Saccharomyces cerevisiae S288C: one gene and its partners. Changing the gene in region 2 together with the main gene of any one other region gives a genetic interaction. Each region holds a gene or a part of one and is shown on either strand. Other genes may lie near its edges.

Region 1 (4,013 bases), on a different chromosome or scaffold from region 2:
TACTGAAGAAATACCTAACGCCAATAAGTAGTCTCTATACAATGGGATATGAAATTGTGTGACCAGTGTCATCAGAGAAATAGGAATACCTGGGAAAATCTTGGAATAGTTACAACCTTCTGTTGCAAACGCTCCAAACGCACCAAGTGCTCCTATGCCGTGTGGATGGTAACCAAATAAGTACGTTGGCCCTGTACATTCCTGGTTGCGATAGTCAATAGTAGAGTTGCTTTTGAGATTAATGGAATACTTAGTTGGCCACAATCTAATCTTGTAATTTTTTTCGTTAACTCTCTTATTTTTTGAAAGCGTAAAAGTTGGTTTTAAATTGACAGTTTTAATCAAACTTATAGGGAAATAATCACAATACCACTTCCAAATGGGCAATGAACGAAATCGAAGAGAGTATCGATTTACCACTTCGCCAGTTGCAGGAGACCTATCGAAAAAAAAATAAATCATATATGGAATAGCAAGAACCCACAGTGCTGGTGTCGAGATTGCAAATAACGTAAATATGGAGAAGAGTACAAATGAAGAAGTGTGCCATGCTACAGCCAGAGTTTGTAACCTTCTTTCAAAAGGGGTCGCCAATGGACAGCATGACTCTAGTTGTGGTTTGAGAGTCTGTTCTCTTTTATCGATGCTTGACAAAGACTTATTCTCATGCCTTTCGGTAATACCGGCTGTAGGGCTTCCTTCTTCCTTCTTCCTTCTTCTTATATCATTGAATGTTCCTGACATTTATGTGACTGTTCAAACTGTATGCCTCTGCGTTTCCTTATGTATATGTAAGTGTATGTGTAAATGGAAATGAGATGATAGTAAACCTCCTTAATGGAACAAACGTGATCTGGGATAAACAGGAAAAAAAAAAAACTTTGGCGGAAGTGTAGTGAAAGATCCAAGCCTGATAGACCACTGTCGTGCTTGGTTAAGTACAGAAATGCGGTGGAAGTACTGGTCTGCTTTGAGGAATAAGTTTCCAAATTCAGTCTTCTCTTTTTCTAGCCTTCCCATTACGTCAATGCTGACTGAATCTATCAATTGAATAAAAAACGCACATCATAAGCCTTTGTCGGCCCGTAACTTAGTTGCCTGCAGAGAACAAAGTACAGAAAAACTTCTTGCTCTGATTACCAGTTACAATAACGACTAACTAATATTTAAATAAAATGTACATCTATCTACTCTTTCAATCTTTCCGTCTTGTTATATATCGAAACCACGGTCTCTTAGTTGATGAACGGTCCAGATCCAAGTCGATGCCGCTTCGTCGACATTGTTAGAAACGTAGCTCGATTTAGATTCTTTACCCCCCGTGGTGAAGTACTTCCCGTTATCTTTTTCGACAGATAAATTCGGGTCCAATGCACACTTCAAAGAAGCTAGTGAACCTTGTTCGTTCGATACGCCGAAAAAGAACCCTACGACCTGGAACAACAGCCAAAAGAAAATACCGACGATGGGTAACCTTGTCCAATAACTGAATAAGTTTGTGTTCATCACCAGACCCGGATGAACGGAGAGACAAAGAACGTCAGGGTATTTGATGGCCAACATCTTCGTGCATTGGATTAGCGCGGTTTTACTCATCGCGTACCTAAACCATGTGAAAAGCATATTAGGTTTGTAATCCCACGTCTTGCTCAGTTTCCAGTACATGAACTCTAGATGATGGCCTATCGAGGACAGGGAAATGATCCTGCCACGACAATGGCGCAGTAAAGGCAATAATCTCATCGTGAAGATGAAGTGCGAAATGTAGTTAGTCTGCAATTGCACTTCAAATCCGTCCTTCGTCATTTCTAAGGGCACCGCCATAATCCCTGCATTGTTAACAAGCACGTCTATGTGGTCTTCCAGCTTGAGAATTTTAAGTGCCGCTCTCTCCACACATTTTAAGTCTGTCAAATCCAAATGGATATAGTGCAGTGACCCTAGACGCTGAATGCTTGGACCTGGGCCCGCGCCTGGGCTTGAACCGTCGTCATCTTCATGGCACCTCTTCTTTGCTTCTGCCAGTATCTCCTGGATTGCTTTCGAAATCTTGTGAGAGTTTCTCCCACAAATATAAACGACAAACCCATGCAAATACAAATGCAAGACAGTATACCACCCAATACCCGTATTTCCGCCTGTTACTACAGCAATCTTCCTCTCCACAGCCGGGTCGTAGTATGGCAATATTCGTGGGTCTAACATTCTGCCTTTGGCGTATGTCTCGTACTGCGGATGCCTCTAATACCAATCAGGCCTACAACCATTGTCTTCCCCGTTTCTACAAAGACAATAGTGTGTGTGCATTGTAAGTGATGCATCATGCACCATAATGATTTGTTTATATATACCCATGTACACTTGGGTCTCATTTCCTCAATTTTTTCATATCTTACCCGCATATCTTTTCTTTCAATGCCCTACTTCTATACTTCAGGGTTTTCCAAAAAAAAACAGTGATTAAGCAGGGCGGCATTTTCTTTATCTTGGGGCTTAGAAGACGCGAAAGACCTGTGGCTCAATACCTTTTTCGGAATATGTCAACAACACGAAACGCCAAAATTCTTGGCCCTGATTCAGGTACCGCGGGGGCCACGAATTTTGGCGTTCTGTGCAGGAATGACGTCTCTGCCGATTATGAAACTAAACAAGGTATGCTATCGGAGGTGGTCTGAGTTACTCGACAGATTTTTCTGACGAGAGTGAGTGTCGTTCGAGATATTTAAGCTCCAAAATATTTCCCTCACCTAGCTTACATTTTGGTTTATTCTTTCTTACCTCTACCTTTCTAAGTTTTTCTCTTCTGCTTCCTTTTCTTTTCACTTGGCATATTTTATCTATAAAAAAGTTTTGCAAGCGTTTAAGCAACTAGTTTAGCACAACATCCAACCAAGAGGTTTCTCGCGTATTTCTCTCATTTTTTTACCCATTTTACAAATTTTTTTTGCTATTTGAGCCATAGTACCCATTAATAGGTCTCGTCCATTCCCTTGTTTTTTTTTTATTGTTTCAATTACACTACATAATTAAAAATCACATCACTTTCACTCTCACCTTAGTCGTTCTTTATCAACCAAAAATAAAAAAATGCTTCAATCCGTTGTCTTTTTCGCTCTTTTAACCTTCGCAAGTTCTGTGTCAGCGATTTATTCAAACAATACTGTTTCTACAACTACCACTTTAGCGCCCAGCTACTCCTTGGTGCCCCAAGAGACTACCATATCGTACGCCGACGACACCACTACCTTTTTTGTCACCTCAACGGTCTACTCCACGAGCTGGTTCACCTCAACTTCAGCCACCATTACCAATGCGGCCTCCTCCTCCTTGTCCACCTCTTCGGCCTCTGGATCTGTAACCCCAGAATCCACCCATGAAATTACCTCCACCTCGACTATCACGTCCACTTTGCTGCTAACCCTTCATGACTCCACTACTTTGTCTCCATCATCTACTGCAGCAAGTGTCAGTGACGAAGATTCAAACAACAAAGATGCAAAGGTCAAGTCCTTTGAACAGGCTTCAACTTCCAATGGTTGCGTCCCAATCACAAAGTTTGTCACTGTCACCAATGAGCCCGTTACCCAGTACGTTACAGTCACCCCAAATACGACTACACAATACGTTACTGTCACCGGTGCACCTTCTGTTACCACTACCTCTCCAGGTAACGTACAATGGTACAACACCACTTCGATTACTAATTCGACCAGTTGGTGAATTATGAGTTCAAACGTGTCCTTTTAAGTTCTTTTTGTTTCTTTTTTGTATCTGTATTGACAATTTCACCTTCTGTAACTCTATCCTTCTGCTACCTAAATACATCAGTTTAAGTTCCAACTGGTATTTATTTTTCACTATCATTTTTCTCTCGTTTATATATATATACATGGACATTTGTTTGTTAATAGAAAAAAAAAAATAAAATAAAAAGACACTTCACCTAATTTGCTTTATTTTCTAAGTGCAGCTATAAATCATTTTCTTTGCTCACAAATGATTGAGGTGTTGTG
Region 2 (4,671 bases):
TTGTCGCAGAGTGTTACATATTGCTGTGATGGATCTGTTGGCTCTTGGTATCATCGTTCCTCGAAACAGCCCATCATAAAACAATACCATTCCTTTAATAAAACTTACAAAGATGAAATTTTCTAAAGTCTCACTACTGGCCGCATCTGCATCTGTCGCTTTATCTGCCCCAGTTGCTGTGACTGTCACGCAACATGTCCACCAAGCTGCCACTGTAGTGGTACAAGGTATAGTTCGTGTAGAAAATGGCCAGACTCTAACGACGTTCATTACCAAGGGCACTCAAACGGCTTCTGCTAGTCCCGTTGCCACAACATCAGCTCCTATTGTGGTTGCTAATGCTCAAGTGGACAGCATAGCTACTTCCGTTATCCAAGAAAGCGCTGTCGTGGCTGAATCTGCAACATTTGAAGAATCCTCTACAGAAACATCTGAAGCATTTTCTACAGCAACTGCAACCATACAAGCGGTGCAAACCTCCGCAAGTGCCACACAGGATGATGTAACCACAACTTTAACATCTTCAACACAACCTACCAGCACAACTACTCCAACAACCACTACCACTAGCCCAACCACTACCACTAGCCCAACTACTACCGCTAGTCCAACTACTACTGCTAGCCCAACCACCGCTACCACCACTCAATCTACCGCCTCAAGCACTCAATCCTCAAGCTCCGATTTCTCAACGTCAATGGTTAACGAACACAACACTAAAAGGGCGTTGCACAAGGATACCGGTTCTTTGACATGGTCTGACACACTAGCAACATATGCACAAAACTACGCTGACTCCTACGATTGTTCAGGCAACCTAGTCCACTCCGGCGGTCCATACGGTGAAAACTTGGCACTTGGTTACGGTACGACCGGCTCTGTTGATGCCTGGTATAACGAAATTACCAGCTACGACTATTCCAACCCTGGTTTTAGTGAAAGCGCAGGTCACTTCACCCAAGTCGTATGGAAGGGAACTTCTGAAGTTGGTTGCGGTTTGAAATCTTGCGGTGGCGAATGGGGCGATTACATCATTTGTTCCTACAAAGCCGCTGGTAATGTCATTGGTGAGTTTGCTGACAACGTTATGCCATTAGCTTAATCACTGAATTTAGCGAATACATGGGTATGGACATGAACAGCAATGGGCACTGTTCCTTCTCTTACATTTCTCTTTTATAGTTTCAATTTTTATTATACACTAAGGATTCTTCTTTTCTAGGGTACGCAAATTAAATGCAAGCAAGATCATATAACATTGTCATAGTCTCATGCATGGTAAATAGGGTGAACGAAAAAAATTGGGAGATCTTGCCGACGGCTACGTATATATATATATATATATAAATATATATATATATATTCATGTATACTGTATATGTACAATCATATATAAAGTTACTCTTCCCTTTTCTTTTTTTTTTTACATTATTACGTATATACTGCTTTATTATCGGAAAGTAGCAGTTTAATTAAAGCAACTTCTGTTGTTTTTCCTCTAAAACACAAATCATAGGATATCAACTGCAACAAGATGTTGGATCATTTGTGGATGGCCTTTGCAAATTAATGTCTACTTGTCCGTTATTGCCTCCACCGATTTGTCTATTTTGCTTAGAGAGAATTTCGTCTTTCTTTAAATCGTATAATTTTTCACCAATATCTTGAAAAATTTCCTTAACCCCTTCACCTGTCTTAGCACTAACTTCTCGGAACAGCAACCCTTGTTCTTGTGCGTACTGTTTCGCTTCTTCAGTGCTAATTGCTCTTACTTTTTGTTCTTCATCTCCACCTTCGTTTGAATCTGGGCTTGTCTCAGTGCTAGGCGTTTCTTGACATAAATCCACTTTGTTTCCCAGTAAATAAATAACCAAGTCGTCGTCGCCTACCTTATTTTTCAGCTCATCAACCCAGTTCCTTGCCTTTTGTAGTGAATCTTCCTGCGTAATGTCATAAACAACTAATGCTGCATTAGCGTTTCTATAATACATTGGTGCCAATGACTTGTATCTTTCTTGACCAGCAGTATCCCAGATTTCAAATTTTATAACGACATCCTTTGTTTCATTACCATCGTTTGGGTGAATAGTGATTGATTGAGATAAAAAAGCAGCACCAATCGTACTTTCACGTAGTTCATCGAATGTATCCTTAACAAAACGATGAACAATGGAAGATTTACCCACGGATGAGTCACCCAATAAAACTAGTTTAAATTGCAACATCTGTTAATAATATATACGTTTACTCCAAATAAGTTAAACCTTCTTCCTACCCTCGCACTATAAAAAAAAATTTAGATATGTCCAGAGCTCGATATCGAAGCGACTTAACAAATAATTAATACTGACAGTTGGTAAACGGGCCTGTTCCCTTCACTCCCGTATGTTAACATTGTAACTTCATATCGCAGGGGCAGAGCTTTATAAACCTGAATTGTCCGGCCAGAATAGTAGTCGCTGTCCACGAAAGCAAGACACTATGAAGTTGCCGTTTGGTCTCAATGATACACATAGTGTTAAGAACATTGAGTAATTTGGAGTCAGATTGATTTCATTCCTTTACAATCGTGATGTGCCTATTTAATTCAAGGTCATGTGGATTTCAAAATTTAACATAATGATTTTACCTACCTTTCACACATTTGAACATGGGAACGCTTAAATATTAATTACTGTGCTTCACTACAATTACAAGAGAGTACGTATTGACGTTATTACCAGTTTACTTTCCATCATACTTATCGCAGAAAACAAAATATCTAAAAAAAGTATAGTAAACGGTTGATGTCATCAAGAAGCATACCTTACTCCTTATATAGAAAGCTAAGAGACACCTAGAAACATTGATTTGCCAAAAATCCACATTCCTCGAAATGGGGCCTAAAATGTGCGCTAATGCGCTAATAAAGGTGATATAAAGTTCAAATCTTGAGTATACATATGACATACAACCATAAGGCCTGATTATTGTCTATTTACTGCAATTTTCATCTTCAGTTCCAATCCACGGTATAATGAAATGTAATGCATCCTATCTTATTTTTGAATGTATTATGTTAATCGTCACGTTTTGGTAATGATTTCTAGATGCGACTATAGCATTTTTGGCAAATCAAGCGTTTATTTTGACTTTTCTAAATTTGGCTTTAAAATCCCTAAATTTCACAGTTACGACATCCTTAAAGTGGATATCTGTTAAAATAGTTGACCCAAGTACTTCACTCTCCCCAGGCATTTTGTTGATGTTGTTACTGCTCGCATTGTATTTCATTATACATTTTCTCTTGTCCTTTGTTCGCTGATTCCTTTCTCCATGAGGTGATATGTTGAGTTTAATCTTAAGGTATTCTCTCACTAGACCGTGCGCTTCCTCTTTATGGCAATTTTTGCATGATTTACTATTTTTATTATTACTATTATCATTTTTACTGGCGGAAGATGCTATTTTGGTCCTAGGTCTAACTACCTGATTTTTTGTATGTCTCTCCGAGTGCTTACCAGGTTCTTCGACCTGATTTTCGTCCATAACCATCTGATCTTTACAATATTTTTTCTCAAATGTCTGAGCCTTCTCCAATCCTAGCATTTGTTGCTCCTTTCTCCAAACTCTAGCACATCTTTCACTCATGTAAATTGGATCAATATCTTTCATAGTGGTATTCCAAGATATGTTGTTTTGGTCATTATCTTGGGGTTCAGGTTGAAAGTACGCGTTTTCCATCGGTGTTCCTGCATTATCTTCACTTTCGCTTCTAGACTTTTGAGCTATTCCGTCGTTCGCAATTTTAGGTCTGTCGTTATTTTTCTCTTCATTGTCATCCTTTACTTTATCCACTTCTGTTACATAGCCTATTACCACAGCAGCGCAGTTATTAAAAGTATTGACAACCCTATTAGCGAGAGGTGTTTTTATGATATTTTTCAATCCTGATGACGCTTCAACTTCAATACTATCCATTTTTTTTCTCTCTATCATAATGTTCTCCTGTTCCTCACCTTGCATCCTCACCTTGGCTTCTTCTTCTCTCCGTTTTTTCCTTTCCTCGTGTTCCTTGTAAGGTCTCATGTCAACATAGAATTTTTCTGGTTCTAAAGTCCAAATAAGATTAGGAAGGTCTTTATCTTTAAGCTCTTTGATACTCAAGTTTTTTTTGTTCAAGTTCTGCGGATCACACGCTGCTGTAGCGTTGAATCTGTAAACTCTGACGTTGGAAATTTTGGTAAGTTGGGAAAAATTTGAGATAGTAGTGATTTTATTGCTTTTCATTAATGGTTGTGGAATGTAAATATCACCGAGGTATTTCTTCTTTTTATATCGTCTTTCGACAAAACCTTCTGAATAAACAACCTTGTGAAGGATGCTCCAATCATCTTCCTTTACCGGGGCCATATCAAGAATCACCTTTTTTACCTTTTCAACTATATAATATTGATGATAATAGGTCCATTGTTTATGAATAAATATAAAGGCCCTGTTCAATGGATGCAACGGATCCAGTTCATCTAGGCAATCCTCTACCGGACAATCGAATTCCACAACTAAAACAGCAGGGCTACGCCTGACTAAGGGCCCAATTTCCATAATCTGTCTTAAAGAAATAACCATAGTATAAAATCTGTGAATCATATTTTTAGATTCTCTGAAATCTTCCACATTCAAGTTCTCGAA
Region 3 (5,161 bases), on a different chromosome or scaffold from region 2:
TTATTGAGCAAGTGAGCTCTGATATCAGAGACGTTAACATGCAACTCAACCAAGTTGACTCATTCAAGTTGTGCTAAAATGGCCGTAGTGGAGGGGAGGGCCAGCGATGCAGGCGACACCAGCAACAGTTGAAGTTAGTTTTACCATTATGTTCGCTTTGCTTGTTAGTGCTGAATAGACTATACTATAAAAGGAGCAATGCAGGATATTCTCCAAGGCATAATGTGTGAAGTGGCCTATTAGTATGAATATCTTAGCAGTTGTTGCTGCTCAAACGAATCATTACACATCTCAAATCATCCTTTGTTCACTTTCTCTTTCTGCACCTACATCACCGTCTTTAACTGCCTTTATTGAGATGTGGCTGCTCCTGACCTGTTCACCTTTTATAAATCTTGCATAGGAAGGCATGCATTGAACTTTTTTTATTTACTTTCGTATGTTCAGACGAAAAAAAAAAATATTTCAGGATTACTTTCCGAAAGAATCCTTTGTATACATGCAATATCCTTAGACCCAACTTGATTAGAACTGTCATCCAGAAGCCCAATGCTCAAGCTTTGAATATCATATTTTAAAAGTTTTTTATGACAATGAAATTTTGTTTCTCCAAGTCAGGACACGGGGAAAATCTTTACTTTTAGTGCTATCCATAAATATACAGTTCTTTAGCCCCATATTTTATCAGTAAAACTACTTATGGCTGTCCTTACCGTATGCGGTATAATGAAACTTTTGAAAGGAACATCTTAATATACCGCCTTGACATATCCGGGTAATAATAATACAATATTCGGAAGTTTTCTAGCATTAAATGGACAGTAAGGTAAAGAAATGAGATGTGGTTGTTATATGGAGATCGTAGAATAAAAAGAGAGACACTTACAGCACTGGTGCGATCCATAACCTGAATTCATAATGCTGGTTCCACCTGCTAACTTTGGGATTGCTGAAGAAGGAATATATAGATGTTCTAAAGTGGAGACATTAAATTTATCCTTTCTGGAAACTCTCAATTTAAAGACAGCTATATTTATTGGAGGTCAAGAACCATCCAAGTTTTTCAAAGATTTTTTCACAAGATCATCCATAAAATGGATTGTTTTAAGGATGTCTGATTTCTCGGCTGCGGCAGTTCCGGTAAAAAGCTCTTCTGTATCTAACGCAAATTTATATTCGAATAATAACAGTACTCTATCATTACAGGAAGAAAAGAAAAAATCCACTGCAAATGGGTCACAAAATTCTACTACAGGGGATCCTGTAATTCAGGAGGAATTGGCTTACCACTTGACTGACAATGATGACTTAATGCTGATTAAGAGCACGTGTTTAAAAAGAACTTTCAAAACATTATTGAATGTGGATAATTATAATGTTTTATTGGTAGATAAGACCGCGTTGGTCATTGGTATACTTCGAAAAATTCAGAAATGGAATATTGCATCAATCATAAATGAGTACAGATTATTTTCTGGTAAGAATAGAAATTATTTTGCGGAAACATTTCTAGAAATAATTAACATTGAGATAGAACAGGAGAAGGATAATAAGACAATTGTGGACAACAAAGCAAAAAAATTGCCCCTTGAGAATAATAGGACGCATTCGATAGAGTATAAGGCCAATTCTGGCAAACTTATTAGAGTAAATGAAGATGACCTTTGCAGAGAGCCAGAAGTGCCTCAGCGGCTTTTGACATTAATAAATCAAATCGAAACCAAAGTGAAAAATAATAAAGTATTACAAGTAAGTGGAGTTCTAGGAGACGATTTGAAGAAAACCTCTTCTGACCTAGGAATTTTTGGCCATAGGTATAGATTAGCATTTAATAAAAAAGAAAATGGAGATTATGGCTATTATAAAGCAAGGGGAAAAGATAACGTCAAAATAAGGATACCCTGTGATTCTGAATTACCAGATTGGTTCAGGTTTCAACGAGATTTGTGGGAAAAAGAAAACGTTCCGGAAGAGCATCACTTTTATAGGGAACATATTTTTACATAGTTTACATTTTTACGTATATGTATAGATGATTTCATGATAAACGTTTTCCACTTTTCTATCATTTCATCATCTAAATGGGAATAGCAAACCCTGGGAGTTCTTTGTCGCACTATTTTCCAAGCGTAAAAAGGCATACTTCAATTTTTCTTTTGTTTACGTTTCAGGAAGTCAACAAAACTTGTTTACTTATAAACACAAATACCTACAGGCACTAAAGTTTGTTTTTTGGCCTCTATAAAATTTCCCTCAATGTTGTATTCTCTGCGTGTACATCCTCATAATCCTCGTTTTCTTCATCATCAAAATTCAAATAAGTGTGATCACCCATCGCTCTTGGTTGGAAGATTAATTTAACCAAAAAAATGATGCCAAATAAGGCGCAAAGCCCTGCAACGATGAGGTACAGTACGCCTAGTGACATATTTCTACCACCAATAGCTCCATTTGTAGTCAGTACAAATGATTTTGTGCCACCAAAGAGTGAAATCGGATAATTCAACTCAATGTTCATTTGATATTTACCCTTCGGTAAAGAAGCAGATTCATTTTTCAACGTCAACTTGTAAAACTTGGGAAAGGCTGCAGTCCTCATCCATACCTGGAACTCTTCCCAAGTATGGATATCAGGAAGATTTTCATCTGTATACCCATCGGGATACTTCTTCATCCAGTTTGGCGGTGGAACAATATCGCTAGCATTATACTTGGTGGTTTTAAATCTGTGACGATCAATACTCCATGATATATGCTTGTTAGTTAAATTATAGTCTTCTGTGTCATCTATACCACTCAACACCTGAGAAAATGTATCATTAAACATGGAATTAGCGATCAACCCACAGGGATATATTATTTTGTCTTCCCTACTTCTTATTGGACTACAGCTTGTATCCAGATCATCTTTTTTGATAGGCTCCCCTAATATTTGCTTTGTGTCAAACGATTGGACATATCTGCGATGATTTTGATAAAAATTGGTTATTTTATAATATATAAAAATGGATTTCTTGATATCGTTTGGGATTTCGAACTGCAGTTCGCATGATTGTTCGCCATTTTCATTTTCGGTTAGCCTCCATTGTGGTTTATTTTCAACTTTACTTTTAAAGTGATATTTAATGTACTTCTTTGGTATATCTTCAAAAGCAGTTGTAGATGCTTTTGTATCACAATGACTATAATCAATTGTTAGATCTTGTACCTTAGTAGCGCTTACAATGAGTCCAATACCAATAGGAGTAAATATACATGCAACGAATATTAACAACGGAAGCACACTTTGAGGAGACAGTATTGGTTGCCATGCCTTAAGCCTTTGTTGTCTAAACGCTGTGTTAGGAGGCTTTTTAGAAGTGGGGCCTTCTTTCGTGAGCGGTGGAGCCTTACCTCTTTTGAACAATGAAACCATATACAAGCTGTTCTATAGAACTTCAAGTTCGATTACTCAATTATTCTTTGTTCGCAGTGCGTCATGGACATAAGGTAATTGCAGCTCTTGTTTGATATAAATTGATGCTCATTATTATTATTATTCTCCAAAACAATAATACGGGTAACACTAATTTTCAGTAGTTCAAAAGTGAAAGCGACCCATATACAGTAAGAAAAGTTAATCGAAATTGCTTCTATTCTTATTCAAAATAGTATTCTCTGAAATATAGTATTATACAAGTTATATTTTTTTTTCTGAAATCATGATTTTCGTATATAAATAAATGCAGTTTTTTTATGCGTTGGATTGTAGAGGGGTTTGCCTTCTATTGATGGTGGCGGATTGGTCATCTTGTTCACTGGTTGTGTATTTTTTGGAATATTTTACTAATTGTTGTAAAATTAGTTTAATTTCGGGAACACTTTGTACAAAGGGCAGGTCTAAAAGATTAATATCGTTATTGTTTATCAACTGAGTAAAGAAAACTGAAACACCCCAGGTATGTGGTTTGTTAACAATAATTCTTTTTAAAAAGTTTCTTAAAATAATTTCTTGGACTTCAAGTTTTTGATCATTCCATTCGTCACTTTTGAACATATTCATTAACACAAAGCTGAACCAATAGGTGTGGATGTTTGGATACCGCAATTGTTCCACAATAGACAGAATAATTTGATATTTCATTTCGATGCTACCATTTTGAATCAGATTGAACAATAAAGTATAATAAGAAGACTTCGTATTAAATACCGCATTTGAAGAAGTTCTCTTATACTCTATTCCAGCTTCAATGCCCACATGTAATACAATAGCGCGAATTAATTTACTATCAACAGATAAAAAGTCGTAGCCTACGCCCTTTTTTATGTCATAGGTATCCTTGTAAATAGCGCTTAGTATTGTTCTTAATAATGAATTTGAGGGAATACGTAGGTAGTTGTCAACTGGCTTTTTCAATGAGTGTAAATCAATTACAGGATCAAAGAAGACTTCAGGTAGTTCTTTACATGCTGGAATATCCTCCATATTAAGATCCACGTCATATGGGTTGGGAACGGTCATATTCTTAGGAATAGCAGATAAAATAACATTCTTTAGTTGGAAATATGTTGGAGGTAGATTGTTCATTAATTCATAGTGATTTTCAATCAAAAAGGATGGCATATCATTCGAAATGCCTAAAATAACACGCAGTGTTCCCTTATAAACAACCGAAACAGCGTCAGAGACTGCATGTTTACTTGTGTATTGGTCCAAAAATTTAAACAAATCGATAATCAAAAGCATTAACTTTTCCCAACCTATTTTATTGGGTAATCTTAGCATAATTGGTAATAACATTCTGTGTGATAATAGTGTCACCCATGCAAATGAGAATCCAGGGAAGGCAAATGGTTGCAGAGCGTGCAAATATCCTGAGAAAGTGTTGTAAAATACAGAATCAAATTCGATCAGCTCCTGCCTAGTGCTGGAATCAGATATTCTAACAAAATTGTGCGTCCTGATGGTAGCCCATTCGTATAAGATGTTAGAAAATAGTCTGAAATATGGTCGTTCATTGAATGTGGTACCCTCTTGGCTATGATCCTTAGCAAACACTAAAACGATCACAGAAAATATTGCATTTATGTAATCTCTTCTTGTATCATCTTTGAAACCCTGTAAAATCAACAATTTTATAATTAGCGATCCTAGAGCATCAATAGCGATGAAAACCTCATC
Region 4 (4,863 bases), on a different chromosome or scaffold from region 2:
AACAGAACTGTCTCTGATGTCGCAGGACGAGTCTATAAATGATGACTATGGAAGCATATATTCTAGATTTGTGCAAATAAAAGATAGGTTGGACCAACTGAGGTTTAAGAAACTGTATCAGCTGATAGGGATCTTCCATTCAACGGATTTATTTAATTCAGATAGAGGCTATATTTACTTTGAAAAACCTTCTAGCGTAAATGATGTTATTAATAGGCTCAAGCTAAAACCTTTGAATATAGAGATATTACTTAGACAAGCCGGCGAATCCACAAAGCACAGAGAATATGTAAACAGCCAGTTGGGTTATTACCTTTTATTTCTCCATTTGACAGCCATCCAAATTTTCAAGGCTCCTTTACCCTATAGACTAATGTATTATGGTAGTACATCAGTGATCGACAGTCAATATCCGTTGTATTTCACTGATCAAATGATTTCTAAGCATCAAGCAAAGCTGATTAAAGCCATACATTATTTTAATGCTGATATATTGCAATTTAAACAGATTCTGGAGAATTACCGTCCAACATAGACTGAAAATCAAAAATCTCTTTTGGACTGCCATTTAATCTTTTCCATGTGTGTATATTGTTCTCATTTACATTAATTTCATAAATACGGATACGTCTTTCTGTACCTCCATAGCCAGCATAACCACCTTCTCCACCTCCACCGCCATAGCATAGCCAGATTTTGTTCGGCGTAGAGTCATCTCGAAGACAGTAATCGTTACAATGGTCATGTCCGCAACTGACGACATCCACACTTAACCTATCCAAAGTTGTTATCCCCTCAGAATTATACTTAGGTGCAGTAACACCTTCTTTGTACATTCCAATGAGGGGATTTTTCTCTCCGGGATGTGTCTTGGATTCAATATTCAAGTATTCTGGCAGTGGGATGTGAAAAAATGCCATTGAAAGACCTGTTTTGAACTTCAAGTTCACATCATGATAATCTTCAATGTATTTCCACTGTGATTCCTTAATCCAATCATATCCAGGATAAATTTTACCAACCGTAGAATATTTATGTGAGTCCAGAAAATAAAGTGTACCTACTGGGACTTCTGTATCATTGTTCGAAAAAATCTGATAAATATAATTACCAACGCCAAACGTATTATCGTGTGTATCATGGGGACTAAACTTGAAAAGGGAATATGGTAGTACTGAAGCTATTTCGGATAACTGCCAGCGCGTTAAGCTTCCCTCGTCGTCGTGATTTCCCCATACCATTGCCCACGGAATTTTTCTTGCAATGACGGGTGCTACCGCCTTTAATAATACGGTTTCAGAGTCTTGAATAGATCTATCACCCATGATTTGGTCACCAGTAAAAACAACCAACTGCGGTTTTTCAATGTCAAGAACTTGTTGAACGAAAGTTTCCGTTTTTGGATCTGCCTTGCAAGCTTCATGCTTTGGATACTCATCGATACATTCAGACTCCCCCACACCCAAGTGGAGATCCGCCAACTGAACAATTTTGAACTTTCCTTCATCAGTTTCTTGCAGCCGTTGAGCTCCTGTGTCTACAGGACGAGTACCAACGAATTTGTAAGTCAAATAAGCAGGTTCGCTGTAGCGGTATTTTACTAAGGGAAATTCTTTTTGAAGAGTCCAATTTGCTATCGGCTGGATGCAATCAACACCAAAGAGAATGTTAATATCGCTTATGTAGCTCCTTTTCTGCAATAGTTCTATGCTAATAGGCTCGAATGTGATGGATACATCCATAAAGGGTAGCGATTTGTCTTTAGGATATTTGGAAATTCCAGTTACTGCCTCAACATTTAGCTTTTCTAGGTTGGATCCAAAGTAGTCCACCAAAGCAGGGTATAACACATCATAGTAAAGGTATTCTGACTTTCCAAACCACCTGCGTCCAAAGGAACCTCTCAAGTCTTTATGAATTCTTTTCCTTTGTAAGTATTGGTGCCCATCAGTTAAAGTTGATTTAAGTTCATGCCGATTAAAACATCCTTCATAAAAACGACCAATATGAAAACATTCGTCATAGCCTATATTTACAACTAGCTTATCGTCATTTGAGAATCCCTCTAGACCTTTATTTTGGAACCATAGATTATCAACGTGTGATATCGGGAGTGCAAGGTCGAAACCAATGTGCTCTTCAACTCTTGGCGCCTGTAGGAAGTAAAATAGGGCAATCACTACAAAAACTACCAAGTATAATAGGTACCTTTGATACAGCCTCGGTAACCGGATCATGTTAAGATTTTTAACCACGGTGCTGGTCTTCGATACTTAAGTATAAAACTTGTATCAGAGGTATCTGCGATCTAAAAAGATTAATTTTTGAAAAAGATCAACACTAAACCATTTGAAATTCAAAAAGCACCTAAGGCAAAATATAAATCTAAATATACGTAAAATGGAAACACTTTCTGCGCAGCTTTATACAAGTTAGCCTTCTAGCTTATGAAATAGAAATGAAATATAACTGAGCAAGTCCTATATACAATACTATTAATGATCTTCTTGTCCATGAGACTGTTCATGGTGCCTTTTAGAGACTTCTTCATCACTTATCTGAGGCCTGTGGCCACCCGTTCTCAATAAACCACCGGCAGTATCTTCAACTGGAAATCTTGCACTGGGTCTTACGCAATGGGGCTTGCGTAACTGTTCAAAATCCATGATTTTAGTTTTCCCTCCCCCTTTTAAAGTAATCTTTGGATTCTCGCCCAACTTTTCCTCCACTTCTTTTATATTTTGGGTGCGTTCTTTACTATTATTATTATTATTATTATTACTAACTGCCATTATAGTTTCTTTATGCTGTCCTCACCATGCCTTTCGTTATCAGGCTAGCATTAAAAGCCTTTTAAGGTGTAAAGCTTTCGCCGCGATGGCTTTAAACAGTAGAAAATATTCATATTTACACACATGCATAAAGAGAGACCACTTAATAAAGCTAGTATGATAAGATCACCGGTAGACGAAATATACATGGAACAGACACAAACAGCAGAGGGCACTGACTTACTAATTGGTGACGAAAAGACCAACGATTTACCTTTTGTGCAGTTATTTCTGGAGGAAATAGGATGCACTCAATACCTGGATAGCTTTATTCAGTGCAACCTTGTCACAGAAGAAGAAATTAAGTATCTCGACAAGGATATCCTCATTGCTTTGGGTGTAAACAAAATAGGAGACAGACTCAAAATTTTAAGGAAGTCAAAATCGTTCCAGAGAGATAAACGGATTGAACAGGTGAATAGATTGAAAAACCTGATGGAAAAAGTAAGCTCTCTATCCACTGCTACGCTATCGATGAATTCAGAATTGATTCCTGAAAAGCACTGTGTTATATTTATCTTAAACGATGGTTCCGCTAAGAAAGTTAATGTAAATGGTTGCTTTAATGCAGATTCTATTAAGAAAAGGCTAATCAGAAGATTGCCACATGAATTATTAGCCACAAACTCCAATGGAGAAGTAACTAAAATGGTCCAAGATTATGATGTGTTTGTCTTAGATTATACCAAGAACGTACTGCATTTGCTATATGACGTGGAATTAGTCACTATTTGCCACGCAAATGATCGTGTTGAGAAAAATAGGCTAATTTTTGTTTCCAAAGACCAAACACCAAGTGATAAAGCTATATCCACATCCAAAAAACTATATCTAAGAACGTTGAGTGCATTGAGCCAGGTTGGGCCATCCTCGTCAAATTTGTTGGCACAGAACAAGGGGATTTCGCATAACAATGCTGAAGGGAAACTCCGGATCGACAACACAGAAAAGGACAGAATTAGACAGATTTTTAATCAGAGGCCTCCTAGCGAATTTATTTCTACCAATTTGGCCGGATATTTTCCTCATACAGACATGAAGCGGTTGCAAAAGACGATGAGAGAGTCATTTCGCCATTCAGCAAGGCTAAGCATTGCTCAAAGAAGACCTTTAAGTGCAGAATCAAATAATATCGGTGACATACTATTGAAACACTCAAACGCTGTTGATATGGCCCTATTACAAGGATTAGATCAGACAAGATTAAGCAGTAAACTTGACACAACTAAAATTCCGAAGCTTGCCCATAAAAGGCCAGAAGATAATGATGCCATATCTAACCAGTTAGAACTATTAAGTGTAGAGTCTGGTGAAGAAGAAGATCACGATTTCTTTGGGGAGGACAGTGACATTGTTTCATTACCGACGAAAATTGCCACGCCCAAGAATTGGTTAAAAGGTGCTTGCATTGGATCAGGCAGTTTTGGGAGTGTTTACTTGGGCATGAATGCTCACACTGGTGAACTAATGGCAGTAAAGCAAGTGGAGATAAAAAATAATAACATTGGTGTTCCCACAGACAACAATAAACAAGCCAATTCTGATGAGAATAATGAGCAGGAGGAACAACAAGAGAAAATAGAAGATGTTGGGGCGGTAAGTCATCCAAAAACCAATCAAAATATTCACAGAAAGATGGTTGATGCTTTACAGCATGAAATGAATTTATTGAAGGAGTTACATCATGAGAACATTGTTACTTATTATGGTGCTTCTCAAGAAGGCGGAAATTTAAATATTTTTCTTGAATACGTTCCTGGGGGTTCGGTTTCCTCCATGCTGAATAATTACGGTCCATTTGAGGAATCACTGATTACTAATTTCACTAGGCAAATACTGATTGGGGTTGCGTATTTGCATAAGAAGAACATTATTCACAGAGATATCAAGGGTGCAAATATTTTGATTGATATCAAAGGTTGCGTAAAAATTACTGATTTTGGTATTTCAAAAAAATTATCACCTTTGAATAAAAAACAAAATAAGAGAGCTTCTTTGCAAGGTTCCGTATTCTGGATGTCACCAGAGGTGG

Evidence for each region.
Region 1: mutations in YPT52 (region 2) and ENV9 together harm fitness more than expected from each alone (negative genetic interaction), as found in Saccharomyces cerevisiae (2 studies listed by BioGRID).
Region 3: mutations in YPT52 (region 2) and CDC50 together harm fitness more than expected from each alone (negative genetic interaction), as found in Saccharomyces cerevisiae (2 studies listed by BioGRID).
Region 4: mutations in YPT52 (region 2) and DCR2 together harm fitness more than expected from each alone (negative genetic interaction), as found in Saccharomyces cerevisiae (2 studies listed by BioGRID).

Annotation. Positions count from the first base shown.
Region 1 is NC_001147.6:794,589-798,601, forward strand, and holds ENV9 (Env9p), read right to left. Parts: upstream 2,206-4,013; coding exon 1,213-2,205; downstream 1-1,212. Other genes in the region: DGA1 (diacylglycerol O-acyltransferase), read right to left, coding at 1-744; SRL1 (Srl1p), read left to right, coding at 3,088-3,720.
Region 2 is NC_001143.9:463,847-468,517, forward strand, and holds YPT52 (Rab family GTPase YPT52), read right to left. Parts: upstream 2,226-4,671; coding exon 1,521-2,225; downstream 1-1,520. Other genes in the region: PRY2 (sterol-binding protein), read left to right, coding at 113-1,102; YKR015C (uncharacterized protein), read right to left, coding at 3,115-4,671. UniProt on the Saccharomyces cerevisiae protein: Required for transport in the endocytic pathway and for correct sorting of the vacuolar hydrolases suggesting a possible intersection of the endocytic with the vacuolar sorting pathway.
Region 3 is NC_001135.5:285,016-290,176, reverse strand, and holds CDC50 (aminophospholipid translocase regulatory protein CDC50), read right to left. Parts: upstream 3,416-5,161; coding exon 2,240-3,415; downstream 1-2,239. Other genes in the region: YCR095W-A (uncharacterized protein), read right to left, coding at 380-538; OCA4 (Oca4p), read left to right, coding at 919-2,007; CCR4-NOT core subunit CDC39, read right to left, coding at 3,734-5,161.
Region 4 is NC_001144.5:846,888-851,750, forward strand, and holds DCR2 (phosphoprotein phosphatase), read right to left. Parts: upstream 2,238-4,863; coding exon 501-2,237; downstream 1-500. Other genes in the region: VPS38 (Vps38p), read left to right, coding at 1-535; YLR361C-A (uncharacterized protein), read right to left, coding at 2,496-2,792; mitogen-activated protein kinase kinase kinase STE11, read left to right, coding at 2,979-4,863. UniProt on the Saccharomyces cerevisiae protein: Required for cell cycle progression. Has a role in the completion of START.